Linked DNA regions of Xenopus tropicalis. The main gene of each other region encodes a partner of the protein of the gene in region 2 in a complex. Links are inferred from orthologs where the notes say so. Each region holds a gene or a part of one and is shown on either strand. Other genes may lie near its edges. The genes, in order: shh and disp1.

Region 1 (3,917 bases), on a different chromosome or scaffold from region 2:
GCAGCAGGTGTAGGTAGTGGCCCATAGCCCACAGGTGGCAGAAGCCTTGGCGAGTGGCTAATCACAGAGGCTAAGCTTTCTCATACACGGAGCTGCATTGGCCATTAGCGCGGCTCAGGGGGCTACAGGCTGAAAGCCCAACCGGCCCGATCGATAGAAGCAAAGTGAGAGGCTGATGGGTCCGGGCAGATAAGGGATGAGCCTGAGTGGGACGGGAGGGAGCTGTACCCTGGGCTCATCGCCTCTCTCCGGGGCTCCCGGCTGCCCTCCGGTTGTACAGATATGTGTATATCGGTATGTAACTGCCTGACAGCTTTATACTGTATATACTGTATACCCTCATGTGTCTGTATCTGTATAGATCCGTGTGTACTACTGCCTGTATCTGCCATACACATCAGCCCAGCATGTATCGGTATATATATATATATATATATATATATATATATATATATATATATATGTGTATATTAGCGCATTTACTATTCTCAATATATGTATCCATCTCAGTCTCTTTATCGCTAGATCTATCATCTATCTATCTATCTATCTATCTATAATCTATCTATCTATCTATCTATCTATCTATCTATCATCTATCTATCATTTATCTATCTATCTATCATCTATCTATCTATCTATCTATCTATCTATCATCTATCTATCTATCTATCTATCTATCTATCTATCATCTATCTATCTATCTATCTATCTATCTATCTATCTATCTATATCTATCATCATCATCACCTATCTATCATATATCTTCTAGCTTTCTCTGTCTATCATGTAACTACAGCTAGTGCCTATATATCAGTAATGTTACATATGGCTGATAGTAAATACCAGGGTACATTTATTTCACTGTATCTATACCTAAGGAACACACTAACCCAAGGCTATAGACATCTGAGCTGATAGCCTTTCCATTCCTCCCAGGCATGGGTGTGTGGCCAGGACAAGGGTGAGGGGTTGTGCCAACAGAGCCCCTGGCAGGATTCAGGTGCCCCCTTAAGGGGTAACAGTCTCCCGGCAGTATAGAGCCAGGGGTATATCCAGATAGATCCTGTGCTAGAGGTTTCACGCCTGGCTGCCATACTGTATCTCCACACATCTGGGACATTGCAAGTGCAGGGAATCAGCCTGACCTATATATGTGCCCCCTCCCTCCCTGTCACTCAGCCGCACTCAGTCGCACAAACTCTGCAACTCTATCCAGCAGCTCCTGCTTCCAACCAACAGATCTCTCTCTATCAGCTGGAGATCCCATTTAATCAGCAATGATGTAATGTGCAGCAGCCCTTCCAGACAAAGGTACCGGTGGGCACCCATACATACCCTCACCCATTGCCCATTCTACTCACACCTTGCTGGAGATCAGTGTGGGTGCCACAAGGGGGATTTACACAAGGGACAGGGTGCAGGGGGGTCGATTGAGATTTAGCTGGTCATTTGTATGGGCTAAAGGCTGGGGACTGGCTAAACCAGGGGACCAAGGGACGTGTAAGCAAATGAATGAATGAAATATTTAGTGTGTGTATATATATATATATTTTCTTCTCTCGTTCTCTTTCTATATATATATAGCTTAGTCCTGATTCATGGGTCCTAATGTATTTTAAAGCCAATGGGGGCAGAAGAAATGGATCTGAGTTGAAACAGGTTGAATGAGGTGTAAGAATGGCAACTACAGTCATCAATATATGGTAACCACCTGAGAAGTAACTAGTGTATCTGCCATCCCCCGAATGTAAGAATGACAGTTACAGAGAAACCCATCATCAATGTATCTTTACCACCTGAGAGGTGTAGCCACCCCCCCCCCCATAGGTTTCCTACACGACCCCCCCACGTATGGCCGTACCTGAGTCATGAGTCGGTCTGCTCCGGTGTTCTCCTCGTCTTTAAAAATAATATCAGGGTTATAATTGGGGGTTAACTCTTTAAATCGATCCGAGTTCCTTGTAATCTTTCCTTCGTATCGACCACTGGCCCCCAGGGTCTTCTCAGCCACGTTGGGGATGAACTGCTTGTAGGCTAAAGGGGTGAGTTTTTTAGGGTGCCTCCTTTTGCCAATGCCTCTGCCAGGTCCACATGCCAGCCCAGGGGGGGCCACCAGAGTACAGATGAAGCCCAGCAGCAGAATTCGAGTCACAACCAGCATCTCGTCCGAGCGAAGCCAATTACATCAAAGGCTCGGAGGATGTGGAGCTGCAGCCTCCCTACTGGCTGGAGCACTGGGGTGTCCTTGTACCTCCCGGCTGGCCCCACTAGCCACCGATCCCTAGCAAGGCAGGTGTAGAAAGCCCAGTGTGCAGGTCCCCGCTAGCAGAACACATCGGGGTTTAGAGGCGACACAGCAATTAAAGCGCAAATGAGAAGCTGCGATTGCAATAAGCGCAAGCAGGGCTGCAGCCGCCTGTGAGAGGAGCCTCTGCCTTTAGAGCTATATTATAGCGAGCCCAGCCCGCCTCTGATTGGCTGGGGCCAGACAAGAGCTGTCTGGATTAACCCTTGAAAAGCTCATCAAGTGGCAAGGTTGGATTGTCTCATGGGTGAGGGCTGGGAGGGGGGGGGAGGCGTTACAGACTGAAACTTTTTTTTTTTTTTGGCAAAATGACAGAGTTGTCAGCAGCAGGGATAATAAAGGCTTCCACAGTGTCACTTACAGAATTATCTGTTTGCAGATCTATATCTCCTATGGAACCCCATGTATCCTACTGACAACTCTGTCTCTCTATCTCTGTGTATCTGTCTCTTTGCTCTTTCTTTCTCTTTGTTTCTACACACCTCTGCCACTGTTTTTGTACATACAAACACACAGACACACACACAGGCATATATACATATATACATGCACACACAGAATACCCCCTGAGCATATTCTACTAGACCTTGAATGCATGTACATAGACAAATACGTGTATAGAGAGAATAACTCAAATGGGTATTTCCTTAGATGTATCTACAGGTATATAAGTGCCTGATGGTGTATACTATATATACATATAGATATATGTAACATTACCAATATCTATCTATCATCTATCTATCTATCTATCTATCTATCTATCTATCTATCTATCTATCATCTATCTATCTATCTATCTATCAATCATCTATCTATCTATCATCTATCTATATATGATCTATCTATATCTATATATCCATCTGTCTATCTATCTATCTATCTATCTATCATCTATCATCTATCTATCTCTCTCTCTCTACATGATAGGATCGATGATGGATAGATAGATAATGGATAGATGGACAGACAGATAGATAGATGATAGATAGATAGATAGATAGATGATAGATAGATAGATAGATAGATAGATTGATGATAGATAGATAGATAGATAGATAGATAGATAGATAGATAGATGATAGACAGATAGATAGATTATAGATAGATGGTGGATAGATAGATAAATAGATAGACAGATAGATAGATAACAGAGTGATAAAGGACACAAAGTATATAATTTGCACATAGAACCACCGATAGGACATATATAGACACCCAAAAAGATAACACATAGAGATACAGAGATAGAAACAGAGAGATAACCAGAACTTCAGCTATTATGCAAACAGATGATAGAGAAACATCGAAGGATATAGGATTTTGCCAGATGATAGAAAGATAGATAGTTTGCTAGATGAATACATACATGAAAAATAGATGATAGGTGATATAGATAGATAGATAGATAGATAGACAGACAGACATATATATGATATATAGATAGATAGATAGATAGATAGATGATAGATAGATAGATAGATAGATAGATAGATAGAAAGATATAAATGATATAGATATGTGCATGAAAAGAGCAACAGATCCCAGATTTACAGACAACCTTACTGTTAGAATACAGACACACAGGGAGATTACTAGCTGCAAGGTG
Region 2 (3,917 bases):
GGCCCGGGGGGAATGCACTGCCCTCCATATTAGTGTTACATAATGCAATCAGCCTGTCACACCATCAAACTAATCAACTCAGACTTCTGCTATCCACAGGGAGAGAGCGCAGGCATGCTGATCAGTGCCACACTAGCCACCTACTGCCACTACTGGCCCAAATACACCCACGCCATCCTGCTCTGCACTACATAAGGCTGATGTCAGACGTGGCGTATTCCTGGCAAGCAGAAAACCGCTTACAGAGTATATATCCCACTACTGTAAATGTGCCCTACCTGTGCCTGCACCCGAATGAATGAGATACGCTGGGGCGCAGGCACATGTAGCGAAATACGCATAAAAACACGAGACTTTGCATTACGCGGGGCGTATTCTCGGCAAGCGTTTTTCTGTTTCCCGAGAATACGCCACGTCTGACATCAGCCTTAGCCTGTTGCTGGGAATATGAATTACTGTTTTGTATTTGGCAATGCAACAAGGAGTGATTATGGCACATCTCTGAAAGGCAAACTGAGGGGGGACACCGCTGAAAGGCAAGCTGGAGGGGGGGGGACAGCACTGAAAGGCAAGCTGATGGGGGGGGGGGACAGCGCTGAAAGGCAAGCTGATGGGGGGGGGGGGACAGCGCTGAAAGGCAAGCTGATGGGGGGGGGGACAGCACTGAAAGGCAAGCTGATGGGGGGGGGGGACAGCGCTGAAAGGCAAGCTGATGGGGGGGACACCAGGCAAGCTACGGGAAAGCTGAGGGGGGGACACCAGGCAAGCTACGGGAAAGCTGAGGGGGGACACCAGGCAAGCTACGGGAAAGCTGAGGGGGGCACCAGGCAAGCTGAGGGGGGGCACCAGGCAAGCTGAGGGGGGGCACCAGGCAAGCTGAGGGGGGACACCAGGCCAGCTGAGGGGGGACACCAGGCAAGCTACGGGAAAGCTGAGGGGGGACACCAGGCAAGCTACGGGAAAGCTGAGGGGGGGCACCAGGCAAGCTGAGGCGGGGCACCAGGCAAGCTGAGGGGGGGCACCAGGCAAGCTGAGGGGGGGCACCAGGCAAGCTGAGGGGGGGCACCAGGCAAGCTATGGGAAAGCTGAGGGGGGGGCACCAGGCAAGCTGAGGGGGCACCAGGCAAGCTGAGGGGGGCACCAGGCAAGCTGAGGGGGGCACCAGGCAAGCTGAGGGGGGGCACCAGGCAAGCTGAGGGGGGGGCACCAGGCAAGCTGAGGGGGGCACCAGGCAAGCTGAGGGGGGGGCACCAGGCAAGCTGAGGGGGGACACCAGGCAAGCTGAGGGGGGGCACCAGGCAAGCTGAGGGGGGGCACCAGGCAAGCTGAGGGGGGGGCACCAGGCAAGCTGAGGGGGGACACCAGGCAAGCTGAGGGGGGCACCAGGCAAGCTGAGGGGGGGCACCAGGCAAGCTGAGGGGGGCACCAGGCAAGCTGAGGGGGGGGGGACACCAGGCAAGCTGAGGGGGGGGGGGACACCAGGCAAGCTGAGGGGGGGGGACACCAGGCAAGCTGAGGGGGGGCACCAGGCAAGCTGAGGGGGGGGGGACACCAGGCAAGCTGAGGGGGGGGGGACACCAGGCAAGCTGAGGGGGGCACCAGGCAAGCTGAGGGGGGGCACCAGGCAAGCTGAGGGGGGCACCAGGCAAGCTGAGGGGGGGGGGACACCAGGCAAGCTGAGGGGGGGGGGGACACCAGGCAAGCTGAGGGGGGGGGACACCAGGCAAGCTGAGGGGGGCACCAGGCAAGCTGAGGGGGGGGGACACCAGGCAAGCTGAGGGGGGGGGGGACACCAGGCAAGCTGAGGGGGGGGGGACACCAGGCAAGCTGAGGGGGGGCACCAGGCAAGCTGAGGGGGGGGGGGACACCAGGCAAGCTGAGGGGGGGCACCAGGCAAGCTGAGGGGGGGCACCAGGCAAGCTGAGGGGGGCACCAGGCAAGCTGAGGGGGGGGGACACCAGGCAAGCTGAGGGGGGGGGGACACCAGGCAAGCTGAGGGGGGGCACCAGGCAAGCTGAGGGGGGGGGGGACACCAGGCAAGCTGAGGGGGGGGGGACACCAGGCAAGCTGAGGGGGGGCACCAGGCAAGCTGAGGGGGGGGGGACACCAGGCAAGCTGAGGGGGGGCACCAGGCAAGCTGAGGGGGGGGGGACACCAGGCAAGCTGAGGGCAAGATGAAGGGGACACAGCTGAAAGACAAACTAAGGGCGGGAGATGATATGACAAAAAGTAAAGCTACAATCAGGGAGGCGGAAAGCAATGAAAGAACCCGTGTGGGGAGATAAGTGAATGCCAGGCCGGTACTGGGGCCCCTCCCAGGGAACTGTGGGTAAGAGCCCGGCACACAATAAGGAGGAGGCACTTACCATGAGCCGCCGGGCCCGCTCCTCCCTCCTGTTCCGCTCCCACTCGGGGCACTCGGTCCCGCACTCACCCACTCACTCACTCACTCACTCACTCACTCTGCCCCCCCCGGCACTCACGCGAGACCCGAGCGCCGCCACTAACTCACAGGCTCCTCCCACTCACTCTCAAGTCCCACCCACTGACTCACCGGCCCCTCCCATTGGCCCCCTAAGCGCGCCAGAAAACTGCGTAACCAACGGCAACCGCCACGCGTTCCTCTCCGCTCTGTGTGCGAAAGCACCGCCCTTGTGTTGTCATGTCATGTGTTGTGCAGGAAACCACGCCCCGGGGGCATCGGAGTTATCCCATTGGCTGAATAGCAACTTCCGACTTGAACTTTAGTTAAACCAACACGATAGCGCACCGCCAGCCACAACATGGCCCCCAGTCAGCGATATGCCAGCCACTTGGCTGGCTGGGCGCCATGTTGTGGCTGGCGGTGCGCTATCGCGTTGGTTTAATAAAAGTCCAAATTTATTTGTGAGAAACAGATCCGCCGTATCGTGTGTTTGGCATTAGGGGGCGCTATTACATATTGGTCTATGTGGAAATGGCTGTCCCAGCTGATAATAACAGAAGTGACCGCTTGTACCGACTGAACGATAATTATAGGTTACTGGCTGGAGTCAGTGTGGGAGTGGGAGCGCCGCCCCCCGGCTGGATGTATGAACAACAGGCTGTGTATTTGGCTTTGGTAGAACGGGTCGGCCCAATGAATGAGCAGGTTGCCCCTAACTGGCTACACAGTGCAATCCAGTCCAGTGAATGCTGCTGGGCCCACTGAGCCCATGAGGTCATCACTTTACCTGCCAATTTATATTGGGGGGGTGGGGCCTGTATCCTATATAACTGCTGCTATTGGCAGGCACTGCGGGCACCCTGGCATTATGTATACACCCGGGTATCTATAGCTGAATGCAGGGTACTTTTCAAAACCAGCCAAAGTCAGTTCTAAAATAGCCCAAAACTAGCCAAAGTAGCCCAATATGCGCCATGGAAAACATTTCTACAAAAAATAGAAGTAATGAGCAAAATAGAATACAAAACAGAGCCTCTGTCTATACTGTCCCATTGCATGCTGGGTATTGTAGTTTTATATTAATCCTAGCTATAGGCTAATTGTTAGCTACAAACTACATTACCCAGCATGCAGTGGGACAGGCACACTAGGGGGAAAGAACTTTGGCTAGTTTCCTAACTACAAATCCCCCAAGGCTCCAAAAACTAGCCCAAATCTGTACCTTGGCGGGTTTGTACTTTGGGAACCCACCTAGGCTTTAAATTAGTAGCCCAATTCGGGGGAAACACCGCCAACCTGCCAACCCTGAGTATCAGGTACGCTGGTGTCGCTATTACAACAAACTGCAATGTTGAACAGCTAAAATGCTGTCCTGCAGCGACATCTAGTGGCGGAATGTTTGTTGTTGCTGAGAAATACAGTCTTACAGCGACATCTAGTGGCGAACGTTGTAGTTGCTGACAACCCTGAGTATCAGGTACGCTGGTGCCGC

The links.
Region 1: the proteins of disp1 (region 2) and shh are in contact, whole or in part, in a cryo-EM structure (PDB 7E2I), measured with the Homo sapiens proteins. The link is inferred for Xenopus tropicalis from reciprocal best matches to the Homo sapiens genes DISP1 and SHH. Residues at the interface, in NP_001356523.1 of Homo sapiens: Lys242, Thr244, Gly245, Tyr246, Lys247, Ala248, Glu260, His265, Arg299, Phe336, Gly337, Asp338, Leu339, Cys340, Gln341, Arg342, Thr343, Glu459, Arg899, His904, Asp906; in NP_000184.1 of Homo sapiens: Pro49, Asn50, Val51, Thr55, Leu56, Gly57, Ala58, Arg68, Glu71, Phe73, Lys74, Leu76, Thr77, Pro78, Tyr80, Pro82, Arg96, Leu97, Gln100, Lys186.

What each region holds. Positions count from the first base shown.
Region 1 is NC_030682.2:17,020,868-17,024,784, forward strand, and holds the start of shh (sonic hedgehog protein), read right to left. Parts: upstream 2,443-3,917; 5' UTR 2,165-2,442; coding exon 1,865-2,164; intron 1-1,864.
Region 2 is NC_030681.2:9,554,835-9,558,751, forward strand, and holds the start of disp1 (protein dispatched homolog 1), read right to left. Parts: upstream 2,625-3,917; 5' UTR 2,555-2,624; intron 2,508-2,554; exon of another isoform or gene 2,367-2,507; intron 1-2,366. UniProt on the Homo sapiens protein: Functions in hedgehog (Hh) signaling. Regulates the release and extracellular accumulation of cholesterol-modified hedgehog proteins and is hence required for effective production of the Hh signal. Synergizes with SCUBE2 to cause an increase in SHH secretion.